Drosophila melanogaster: one gene and its partner. Changing the gene in region 1 together with any one later gene gives a genetic interaction. Each region holds a gene or a part of one and is shown in the gene's direction. Other genes may lie near its edges.

Evidence for each region.
Region 2: of Nle (region 1) and dx, changing one suppresses a phenotype caused by changing the other (phenotypic suppression), as found in Drosophila melanogaster (one study listed by BioGRID).

The regions. Positions count from the first base shown.
Region 1 is NT_033779.5:565,522-570,402, reverse strand, and holds Nle (notchless), read left to right. Parts: upstream 1-2,281; 5' UTR 2,282-2,338; coding exon 2,339-3,314; intron 3,315-3,372; coding exon 3,373-3,723; intron 3,724-3,778; coding exon 3,779-3,905; intron 3,906-3,930; exon of another isoform or gene 3,931-3,964; coding exon 3,965-3,977; 3' UTR 3,978-4,037; downstream 4,038-4,881. Other genes in the region: Sf3b1 (splicing factor 3b subunit 1), read right to left, coding at 1-1,055, 1,113-1,804, 1,970-1,997; CG2794 (uncharacterized protein), read right to left, coding at 4,074-4,881. UniProt on the Drosophila melanogaster protein: Plays a role in regulating Notch activity.
Region 2 is NC_004354.4:6,532,256-6,539,439, forward strand, and holds dx (deltex), read left to right. Parts: upstream 1-1,743; 5' UTR 1,744-2,157; coding exon 2,158-2,646; intron 2,647-3,265; coding exon 3,266-4,549; intron 4,550-4,611; coding exon 4,612-4,754; intron 4,755-4,822; coding exon 4,823-5,123; 3' UTR 5,124-6,320; downstream 6,321-7,184. Other genes in the region: RpL7A (ribosomal protein L7A), read right to left, coding at 43-166, 235-249.

The DNA.
Region 1 (4,881 bases):
ATTACCTTCACTAATAAATGACGCTCTTGGTCCTCCAATGTGGGCGACATAAGCAACGGAAGAATCTGGTTAAACAAAGGTCCTGCTCCGAATTCCCTTGCTTTGTCCGTAATCTGCCTCAAGGCCGACTTTCTCATTGGTGGCGAGCCGTTCTTGATGGTCAGCAGTAGCTTCATTATCTTGCGCTCCTTGAGTTCCTCAGGCGACAGAGAGTCTTCGTTCACGTCTACAAGTAGCTTGTCAAAATATTGCGCATCCTCTGGTTTCATGAAGGGGAGATTTTGCCCCTTTGGTTGGTTATCCATGAATTTGGCATTCTTGTCCTCCACTTGGATGAAGAAACCGGCTGGGGTGCCAGCAATTGGCGTAGGCGTGGCCATCAGCTTTCTGCCGGGAGTGCGCAGTGGAACATAGCCAGCTGGTGGCGGTAGAATTTTGTAACCAGGCGGAAAGATTTGGTCCAACTCTTCGTCTGTGTATGGCCTGTTTCTCTCGTCGATTTCCTTTTCCCAGCGATAGGCTTGCAATTGCTCTGGTGTCATCGCAGCCAGAGCTCCCGCAGAGGGCGTGGCCATGGCCATTGCCTTGACTCCGATAGGAGTACTGCCTCCGGGCGTCAGCATGGGAGTAGCATGTCCCGGAGTCACATGTGGCGTCATACTGGGAGTCATATTTGGAGTCATGGCACTCGCATTTGTAGGAGTAATAGCCGGCGTAGCATTCGAGGGCGTTTCATCCCAACGAGAGCGACGTTTGGAGGCCCCGGGGGTGGACTCGATTGATATGCTCTCCGCGCCGCCTCCACTGCCTGTGCGATCTGGCTTTGGAGTCTCGGCCCATCCGCTGTGTCCGGGAGTCTCACGCTCTGTTTTCGGGGTTTCGTCCCAGCGATTTCGACGGGCCGACTTCTCGTGTCCAGGAGTCTCGTGTCCTGGGGTCACAGCGTGGGCCGGAGTGGCGTCCCAGATGCGGGTGCCCAGTCCCGGCGTCGCTCCTGGCGTCTCGCTGCCCTTGTGACCCGGAGTCTCATCCCAACGGTGGTCTCCAGGAGTTTTCTACGGAGTAAATTAATATTTTATTATATCATCCATTATACTTCCCAGAATACTCACATCTTCCCAAGTTGGGGTAGCTGCGCTGCTTGGCGTGGCCATCTTGGCCGGGATGAAGCTGTCGCTGACCGTCTGGTCCCATCTGCCTCGCTTTCTGCCGCCGTCCTTTGGTGCAGGCAGGTCCCCATTTGAAGTTGACGACGATGTAACGGTCTTTACCAGAGTTCCCTCCTTGGTTTTCTCCAGGATTCTTCGGCGGAGCTCAGATTCCTCGCCCTTCAGCATCTGCTCCCGCATGATGTCCGTGTAGGTGCGAGAGCCCACATCTGGGGTTTTCCCGCCATCGGCAAAGGGATCCGCTCGCTCTGGGGAAATGATGATGTGACGTCTCTTCTGCCTGTACTCATCCTCCCGATCGGCAATCGTTGGACGCCTGCGGTCTGCCATGGGATCCACATCCTCCTTGCCCTGGGTCACGTCCTTTAGCACGGAGGCCGGCGCCGTGTACGTGGTGCGTTTCTGGGGCACGGGGAAGCCGTCGTCCTCATCCTCATCGACTTCCTCGGCGTCGTTGGCCGCAATGGAGGTGTTGTACCCCTCGTAACGCCCCTTCCCCTTGGCGGCATCATCGTCGTACAAGTCGCTGTCGAAGAATCCTCCGCTGTCCAGCAATCCCACGCCGGCTGCTGCGGCAGTGGTCTTGGCCAACTCCGTCTTCTTCTCCTGGATCACGCTGATCTGTGCCTCGATATCTGTGAGTAAAAATAGGTAAAGATACTTGATTTTCATAGTAGACCACCAGCCAGAAAAACCGGTCGATCCCCATTTGTGTGTGCGGTTCCTTTTGGTGCGCAGATAGTATATTTACGTTTTGGCAATGGCGGTGGTTTGCCACCGTGAGTGTTTATATCGCTTACCTTCATGTGTTCGCGGAATATTTTCCATTTTTATAAAAACTTTACCAAGAGAAGAGCGTACATGTAAAACCAGTGTTACCAGATGATAATAGCGCCTGGTCTAAGTGTGACCAAATACATATCATATCGTACTAGCAGCTATCGGGAAACATTCGATTTCTTAAATCTTCTCATTCCACCCGATATTGATGATGATATTTTGGACAACTTTTATTACAAAGTTCGATACAAAATATAAATGCATTATTTGTTTATTATTTTTTAAGCAAATAATAATCGATAGCTGGCAGGCCAGCTGAGCCGTCTGCCGATTGCTCATCACTAACGAACAAGTTGCGGCACGTGTTTACTTTTGTTTTGACCGCGAGAATGTTGGCCAAAAAACAGAAAATGCAGGAGACGGACACGGAGCAAGAGGCCACGCCACATACGATACAGGCGCGCCTCGTTTCGGACACGGGCGAGGAAGCGGGCCCGCCAATCGACCTGCCGGCAGGAATCACTACCCAGCAATTGGGTCTGATTTGCAACGCGCTGCTGAAAAACGAGGAAGCCACTCCATATTTGTTTTTCGTGGGCGAGGATGAGATCAAGAAGAGCCTGGAGGACACGTTGGACTTGGCGTCAGTGGACACCGAAAACGTGATCGATATTGTGTATCAGCCACAGGCGGTTTTCAAAGTGCGCCCAGTGACAAGATGCACGAGTTCCATGCCGGGACACGCCGAGGCTGTGGTTTCGCTGAATTTCAGCCCGGATGGTGCTCATCTCGCCAGTGGAAGTGGCGACACCACAGTGCGATTGTGGGATCTTAACACAGAGACACCGCACTTCACCTGCACAGGTCATAAGCAGTGGGTTCTGTGCGTATCCTGGGCTCCGGATGGCAAACGGTTGGCCAGCGGTTGCAAAGCGGGCTCTATAATCATCTGGGACCCGGAGACGGGTCAGCAGAAGGGGCGACCCTTGAGTGGGCACAAGAAACACATCAACTGCCTCGCCTGGGAACCGTATCATCGCGATCCGGAGTGCAGGAAACTTGCTTCCGCCAGTGGAGACGGGGACTGCCGGATTTGGGACGTGAAATTGGGCCAGTGCCTTATGAACATTGCCGGACACACAAATGCTGTGACAGCAGTGAGATGGGGTGGAGCGGGCCTTATTTATACATCCTCCAAAGATCGCACAGTGAAGATGTGGCGAGCAGCTGATGGAATCTTGTGCCGGACGTTCTCTGGCCACGCTCACTGGGTAAACAACATTGCGCTGAGCACCGACTACGTCCTGCGCACTGGTCCATTCCATCCGGTGAAGGATCGCTCCAAGAGCCACCTCAGTTTGAGCAGTAAGAATTCATATGCTCTCTATATATGCTGTATATCCTAAAAGAGATTGTTTTACAGCTGAGGAATTGCAGGAATCTGCCTTGAAGCGCTACCAGGCCGTGTGCCCTGACGAGGTGGAGTCGCTGGTTTCCTGTTCGGATGACAACACCCTCTATCTGTGGCGGAACAACCAGAACAAGTGCGTTGAGCGCATGACAGGGCACCAGAACGTGGTCAACGACGTGAAATATTCGCCGGATGTAAAGCTAATTGCGTCTGCTTCATTTGACAAGTCAGTGCGTCTGTGGCGAGCCAGCGATGGTCAGTACATGGCCACCTTCCGGGGTCATGTGCAGGCTGTTTACACGGTTGCCTGGTCCGCGGACTCCCGCTTGATTGTTTCCGGCAGCAAAGACTCAACTCTAAAAGGTTAGCACGTAGTTTCAGTTTTCTAGCGCTAGCTAATACATATCCTCTTGCTTAGTATGGAGTGTGCAGACGAAGAAACTGGCACAGGAGCTGCCTGGACATGCGGATGAGGTGTTCGGAGTGGACTGGGCGCCCGATGGCTCTAGAGTTGCCTCTGGTGGCAAGGACAAAGTTATAAAGCTGTAAGTTTGAGTAACGAGGTTTTCTATAACAATATACAGACTCTAATTGTATCTTTCAGATGGGCTTATTAACAAATCATTAACTTGTACACGGTAAGAAAATACTTAGGAATAAAGTAAAACGTCCTGAGTAAATGCCTTCGTTCTTTTTGGTGTTCAAAGTACCATCTATATGCTCTGCTGTTGAATGATCCGGGCAGTATGCTTGTAGCGACTCTCAAAAGATTCTTGATTTGAGAAGTACGTTGCGGGAACGGCGGACTCAGACTGCAGTGCCCTTTCAGCGGCCACAAAGCCGCCGGCGATGCACTCGTCCAGAGATCGCCCTCGCAGCAGGGCAGTGATGAAGCCCGCGCAGAAACTATCGCCCGCTCCGGAGACATTCACAATATTGTGAACCATGGGAGCGGGATAGAAGCGAGTGCTGTGTGGCGGCGTGGGCTTACTCACATCGAGGAGCAATCTGGCATCGTTTTCAGCGTCCCCTCGATAGCTGAGTAGCACCCCGTGGTCACTCAGCGTAGCTATGATGCAATTGAAGTGGCTGTCGATTTTTTTGATCAAGGACTTCGCTTGCTGAACCAGTTCCGTTTGTGGCTGTTTGGTTTCTGGATTCCATTTGACAGTTTCGCCCGTTATAGCCTCCGTAATAGTTTTCAACTCCTGCATATTCGGTTTGATCAGGCGTATGTTCTTGGTTAACTCCGGCAGCAGCTTGAACGGTTTACCGGCTATGAACATATCTGTGGGCTCGAAGAAGACTGGAATCTTGTTGATTTGCGCCTGCTGCAGAATGCTGGCCATGGCCTGCTCCGATATGTTGCTGTCCATGATGATGAGAGGAGCTTCTCGGAAGAGTTGGTGGTGCGCTTGCAGGGTCTCGGCTGTAATGCTCTGGTGGATTTCCATGTTGCCCAGAATCAGCTTGCAATCTCCAAACTTATCGAAGATTAGGGAGCACAATGAGGTGTTGTGG
Region 2 (7,184 bases), on another chromosome or scaffold:
GCTGCAATATTCATATATATAGAATATGTTTTGTGCACTTACCGATTCCGAAGTTCTTGGGACGCTTCTCGAACAGCTGGTTAACAACCTTCTTGACCACGGGCTTCTTGACAGCCAGAGGAGCGGGAGCCACCTTCTTGGTCACTGGCTTCTTCTTTGGCCTGGGCTGTAAACGCAATGAAAACACGCATTAGGTTAATTCGAGTTAACAGCAAATTTACGCCGATAACTCACCTTCTTGACAACCATTTTCAAGCGGTTTTAAAGTTTGCTACCGAAATAAGCAGTTGCTAAAAAAGAATTAGCACATTAATACGTTTTAAACTTGGTAAAGTTAATGGGAAAACACGCAAAACTTCGGCGACCAGCAAAACACGTGCATGAAAAATGTAAGTACGGAAAGAAAAAAAAAACCATGTTGCTTGCGTGTGTGTGTGTGTGTGTGTGTGATAATTGGGTATAAACAACACACGTTTTTTCGCAGATTTTCCGAAGAAATCTACTCCGTTTTCATTAAATTGAAGAAATATTACTTTCATTTTGATAACTTTGAAGTTTTAAGGTTTCTTTAACAACACTTCTACACACACACTCCATACACCTGCACCAACACATGCACAAAAACATGCCGCAACGCACATTTTTGTTCAAATGGGTTGGAATTTGGCAATTTCACTACAAAAAAAAAAAAGGTTTTCGGAGTATACTGCGTACTTCACGTGTTGTTTACACTTTGTTCTTTTAAGTGGCACATTTAAATCCGGCTTTGGAAGCCCACAGAAAAAAAATTATACAAAAAATTTGGTTTTGCACACATTTTCGCCGGCCGCGTAGTTTTTGGGTGAATTTCTGGAATTGTGAGCTTTACCTGTGATAAGCACGACCACGAACGTATCGAAATACTCGCTGAAAGTAAATAAAATATTGGTTTTTAGCACAAAATTCAGGACTGCTCGCTAGGCACATGCACTCACCGGAAACGTGGAACGAAAAAGAAAGGAAGTGGCAGTTCCAATGTTGGAAATCGAGTAGATTCGATCTGACCGTGCCACATTTGCACCGAAACGCCAAAAGAAGCGATATACCGAGGTGAGAGGCTATGCTTATTCTTAGCAGAGACTCGCTCCATTTATGTTTTAAAAATTTTAAGGTACATCAGATAAGTTAAAAAACAATGTTATTTAAGCGTAACTTCTTTTTTAATAGGCCAGCGCTTGAAAACGAATCAAATCGTGGTCAGAATACCTTTCGTTTAAATAAAAATAATATATCTAACATTCCATCCTATCTAGGACATACACCACAAATGTGATCGTTACAGCAAAGACATGCTCAAATTATGAATTTCTTAAAAGTGACCGATTTGTATTACCGAAAATCTTGAAAAGAAATACTAAATAGAAAGAAACTTTGGAAGCAGCCAGTGTTGGAGGTCGCGTTGCTTAAGAAAAGTAGCTTAAACTTGCCAAAGTAAATAAAAAATATTGAAATTAATATCAAGTAAAATCATTGCAAGTTCTTATTTTTTTCATTTCAATATAGAATTCAATTACACATATATTAATTGATTAATTAACAAGCTAAAAATAGTATCTGTTTATATTCAAGTGCAAGAAAAGAAAATAAAAAATATTAAACATTTAGCTAGATCTAGCTAGCAACCAGTTATGCCAACCCTGAAACTACCGAATCCAACTGGTGGCTGCAGATGCAGTGCGGTATTTTCATCCGGCCTTATTTAGCCATTTTCCGCTGTTGTCTCTCATTAAATCGCTGTCCAACAATAAAAATTTCTCGCCTGCGCTTGCGCTAAATGCTAGAAAAACTGTTTTTACCATCAAACGTGAATTCTTAAGCTGCGCCTAAACGAAACCGAGTGACTAAAGAACCAGAACGAAAACTTCGGGAAAATGGAAGCCAGGGAAAATCAGGGATAACTAACGCTGGCAGCGGGTCCACCATTTTTAATTTCTTTGTTTATTTTGTGCCCATCTTCGCGAGCGAGCGAGATAGCGCGACAGCAACAGCAAGAGAGAGCGAGAGAGAGAGAGTGAGTGAGTGAGAGCTAGTGAAGAGAGCGCAGGAGGAGTTGGATATGGAAATGGGCATGGATATGGCAATGGGCTCACTCCACGGATAACGGATCAACTGCAAGCAATGGCCAGCAGCGCCGGAAGTGCGGCATCCGGATCCGTTGTTCCCGGTGGCGGAGGTAGCGCCGCCTCCAGTTGTGCCACCATGGCCCTGTCCACCGCCGGATCCGGTGGGCCGCCCGTGAACCACGCCCACGCCGTCTGCGTGTGGGAGTTCGAGTCGCGCGGCAAGTGGCTGCCCTATTCGCCGGCGGTGTCGCAGCACTTGGAACGCGCCCACGCCAAGAAACTGACGCGCGTCATGCTGAGCGATGCGGATCCCAGCCTGGAGCAGTACTACGTCAACGTGCGCACAATGACCCAGGAATCGGAGGCGGAAACGGCCGGCTCCGGCCTGCTGACCATCGGTGTTCGGCGCATGTTCTACGCACCCAGCTCGCCGGCGGGCAAGGGCACCAAGTGGGAGTGGTCGGGCGGCAGTGCCGATAGCAACAACGACTGGCGGCCCTACAACATGCACGTCCAGTGCATCATCGAGGACGCCTGGGCGAGGGTGAGTGCCGTGCAGAATCGAATGTTTTCCCATTGGCAGTCTAGTTGGAATTTTGAGTTGCTCAGGAATTTTTTTATCGGGAGAATATATGGGGAATCTTAAAAGAGTGTGGGTTTACCACTGATCCTGAAGAATTGGCTAAGGATGCACCAGTCTGTGATGTGTCCATAGGTGTTTAAATAGTACATATAAGCCAAATTCCACAGTTCACATCTCAGCCAAAAAACGTAGTAGATCGAAGAAGTGTACCTTTTTGAATTTCTGATGCTTAGACAAATAAATCTGCATTTAAATTTTTTAGCTAAAATCAAATTAATTTTTTTTTCAAAAATTTCCATTTTTGCAACCTCAAAATGGGACAAAAAAATTGAAAAAAAATTTAATTTTCACTTTTGTAAAAGTTTGAATACAGAAACTTTCTGCTTTAAAAATAATGACTATTAAAATCATTCGCACTTAAATCGCTGGAGTTTTGGCTGAGTTATGGTATTATGATCAAATTTTAGGGGCTATATAAATTTATTCTTCTTCTTGCACAAAGTCCAACTGCAACCGCATATCAATCAATCAATATCATCAATTATAGATTGTAACATAACTTATTCCTACTCCCTTGCAGGGCGAACAAACCTTGGACCTGTGCAACACCCACATCGGCCTGCCGTACACCATTAACTTTTGCAATCTCACCCAGCTGCGCCAACCCAGCGGACCCATGCGCAGCATTCGGCGTACCCAACAGGCGCCGTATCCCTTGGTGAAACTAACGCCACAACAGGCCAACCAACTCAAGTCGAATTCCGCCAGCGTGAGCAGCCAGTACAACACTCTACCCAAACTGGGAGACACCAAGAGCCTGCACAGAGTGCCCATGACCAGGCAACAGCACCCATTGCCCACCAGCCATCAAGTGCAGCAGCAGCAGCATCAGCACCAGCATCAACAGCAGCAGCAGCAGCAACATCATCACCAGCATCAGCAACAACAGCATCAGCAACAGCAGCAACATCAGATGCAGCACCATCAAATCCATCATCAGACGGCGCCCAGGAAGCCGCCCAAGAAGCACAGCGAGATCTCCACCACCAATCTACGCCAGATACTCAACAACCTAAACATCTTCAGCAGCAGCACTAAGCACCAATCGAACATGTCGACGGCGGCCAGTGCCAGTTCATCCTCCTCATCGGCCTCGCTGCACCATGCCAACCATCTGTCGCATGCGCACTTTTCGCACGCCAAGAACATGCTGACTGCCTCGATGAACAGTCATCATAGTCGCTGCTCGGAGGGATCGCTGCAGTCGCAAAGGAGCAGCCGGATGGGCTCGCATCGCTCGAGATCGCGTACGCGGACCTCGGACACGGACACGAACAGTGTGAAATCGCATCGGCGGAGACCCAGTGTGGACACTGTGTCCACTTACCTCAGCCACGAGAGCAAGGAGAGCCTGCGCAGCAGGAACTTTGCCATTTCGGTCAATGATCTGCTGGACTGCTCGCTTGGCAGCGATGAAGTTTTTGTGCCCTCGCTGCCGCCATCGTCGCTGGGCGAAAGGGCGCCGGTGCCGCCGCCATTACCACTGCATCCGCGACAGCAACAGCAGCAGCAACAACAGCAACAGCAGCTGCAGATGCAACAGCAGCAACAGGCGCAGCAGCAGCAGCAGCAATCAATCGCCGGTTCGATTGTGGGCGTGGACCCGGCCAGCGATATGATATCGCGTTTTGTCAAGGTGGTGGAGCCACCGCTGTGGCCCAATGCCCAGCCCTGTCCCATGTGCATGGAGGAGCTGGTGCACTCCGCCCAGAATCCGGCCATTTCGCTGAGTCGCTGCCAGCATCTCATGCATTTGCAGTGCCTCAATGGGATGATAATTGCCCAGCAAAACGAAATGAACAAGGTGAGCACGCGAAAGCGATGCCAATTAGAAAGAGAAAGTTTATTTAAATTTCATTCCCCTAGAACCTTTTCATCGAGTGCCCTGTATGCGGCATCGTTTACGGCGAGAAGGTTGGCAATCAGCCCATTGGCAGCATGTCGTGGAGCATAATCAGCAAGAATCTGCCAGGACACGAGGGTCAGAACACCATACAGATTGTTTACGAGTAAGTGTGAATGTGCCTGTGGCCACTGAGCAATCAACTATAATCACTCTTTTTCATTTGCATGGCAGCATTGCATCGGGACTGCAGACGGAGGAGCATCCGCATCCGGGTCGTGCCTTCTTCGCCGTGGGATTTCCGCGGATCTGCTACTTGCCGGACTGCCCGCTGGGGCGAAAAGTGCTGCGCTTCCTCAAGATTGCATTCGATCGTCGGCTGCTTTTCTCGATCGGACGATCGGTGACCACCGGACGCGAGGATGTGGTGATCTGGAACAGTGTGGATCACAAGACGCAGTTCAATATGTTTCCGGATCCCACCTATTTGCAACGAACCATGCAACAGCTGGTGCACCTGGGCGTGACGGATTAAGGATTAGTTCCCTGTCCCCGAGTAGAACTACCAACCAACCAATCAACCAACCACCCACCCACCGAAGTCCCCTCGATCATTCTCTTCCATTCGTCGTTAAGTTACTTTCTACATAATCTCAGTGTGTGTGCAATCCTCGTTTACTATGATATATTTTTTTTATAGATATATTGTAATAGCGTTCGAGCTGCTCGAACCCTAAAACAACAGCAAACCACAATTGCAATTGTAGCTTCCTTTCCGCTCTTCCAATTCGTATTTGTACGCACATACGCAATAAGTTGGCGTACATCATATGTATTAGCTAGTTAGTTAGTTAGTTAGTTGTAGCTGTAGTTCCCAAGAGAATCTTGACCCAAGACACCTACTAGTATTAGGCATTATCCTGATTCTTGATTCCTGATTCGATTCAAGCCAAGCCAAGCCACGCCATTCGAGTGCAAGCTGTGCCAAAATCGTAGCGCTCCCGTTTATAGGATATGTATATTGTTGATATAGCTAGCTATAACCATTGCCCATCTCTCCATCTCTCTCGGTTTCGAATTTGTCTCTTTCATCAGATCCATGTGAATTTTCTTTATATCGGATTTATATAGGATTAAAATAGTATTTTGAGAGAGGAAATGGAGATGGGTAAATTCGATAGACTTGTCTCACTTGTCTTGGCCATTTAATCTCTTTCATTCAGCGAATTTGATGTGATTTTAATTTGAATTATTCATTATTAAACGGAGCATTTAGGAAGCATAGTTGTAACGCAGCCAGATATTCCATTACGCATATACATATACATATACATATACATACATACATAAACATATTTTAACATAGCCCCATAGCCATACGACATAACAATAATTTTTTTTATCGAATCCCTTGCATACATTTGATGAATTGTTGCTTTCATATTGATATCATCGAGCATCGAACGAACTATCGTATACATCGCCAATATATAGCATATATAGCATATAGTATGTAGAGATCGTACGGACAGCTAGCGGCTACTGACCGCGCCACCATATTTGATATATGATATGATATGATTTTACTAAGTTGTATTTAGCACTGATTAGTTATTAAAGTTCATTGCGAATATTCCACAACAAATTCCACACCATTTATGTATGCATATTACGCATATATAATACAGTACATTTATATATAGTTCAAATAAAGTAACTTTCATTCATGTTCAAATTAAGTCTTTCTTTTGGGATATTTATTCACTCATGTCTAAAAGGAAATCTTTCTTTTTGGACTTTTTCACTTATGTATGTATGTTCGAATGAGTTCTTTCTTTTGGGACTTTTTTCTTTATGCCTCTTATGTTATATTATTCACTCAATTGTGCCATGCTGCTTGTAAACTAATTACCAGCACAAGCTTAAATTCCAATTAGGTGGCTCTATGGCATTGTTGCATTGTTGCCAGTTTCTTACCAATGCGGTGCAATTCAAATCAATCAGTTGACATTTTTGGAACTTCCAAGGTTTAGCTGTTTTCAGTTTTCGGTTTTCGTTTTCAGTCTACGCCGCCGTGAATCACTTAAAATAAATTAATAAAAGACAAAAAATCCGATGCATTTTTTTTTTTTTGTCATTGTGCAGTGCAGCGAGTGCGTGATGTGTTGGTGATGTTGGATATGCTGGTGATGTTGGCGATGCTCTGGTGAAGTTGCTCCGGGCCATTTAAGGCGCAGCGGCAACAAGTTGAAGACGTGTTGTCGTTGTCGCCATGTCGCCTCTTCAACTGCCTACGTGCTGACGTCAGGCAGGCGCAAGGACAGTGTCCAAAAGTGGACAATATATATATAGCGTGGCCCAGAGCGGCTTTCACTGCTCCTCCTCCAAGGGCGGCCAATCATTCGGCCGCAGCTGTTCTTGTTGCAAGTCGTTAGTTTGGCATTAGCAGCACTTGGCCAAGTCTACGATGTGAAAGGATCGAGGAGCAACTGAAAGTTGTAGATTTCTCTGGCTTTGGGCCTGCTTCATATCTATGGATCATCAAGTGATCATTAGATATTGGGATATAGATACAACTCTTTTCAGCTTGAGCACT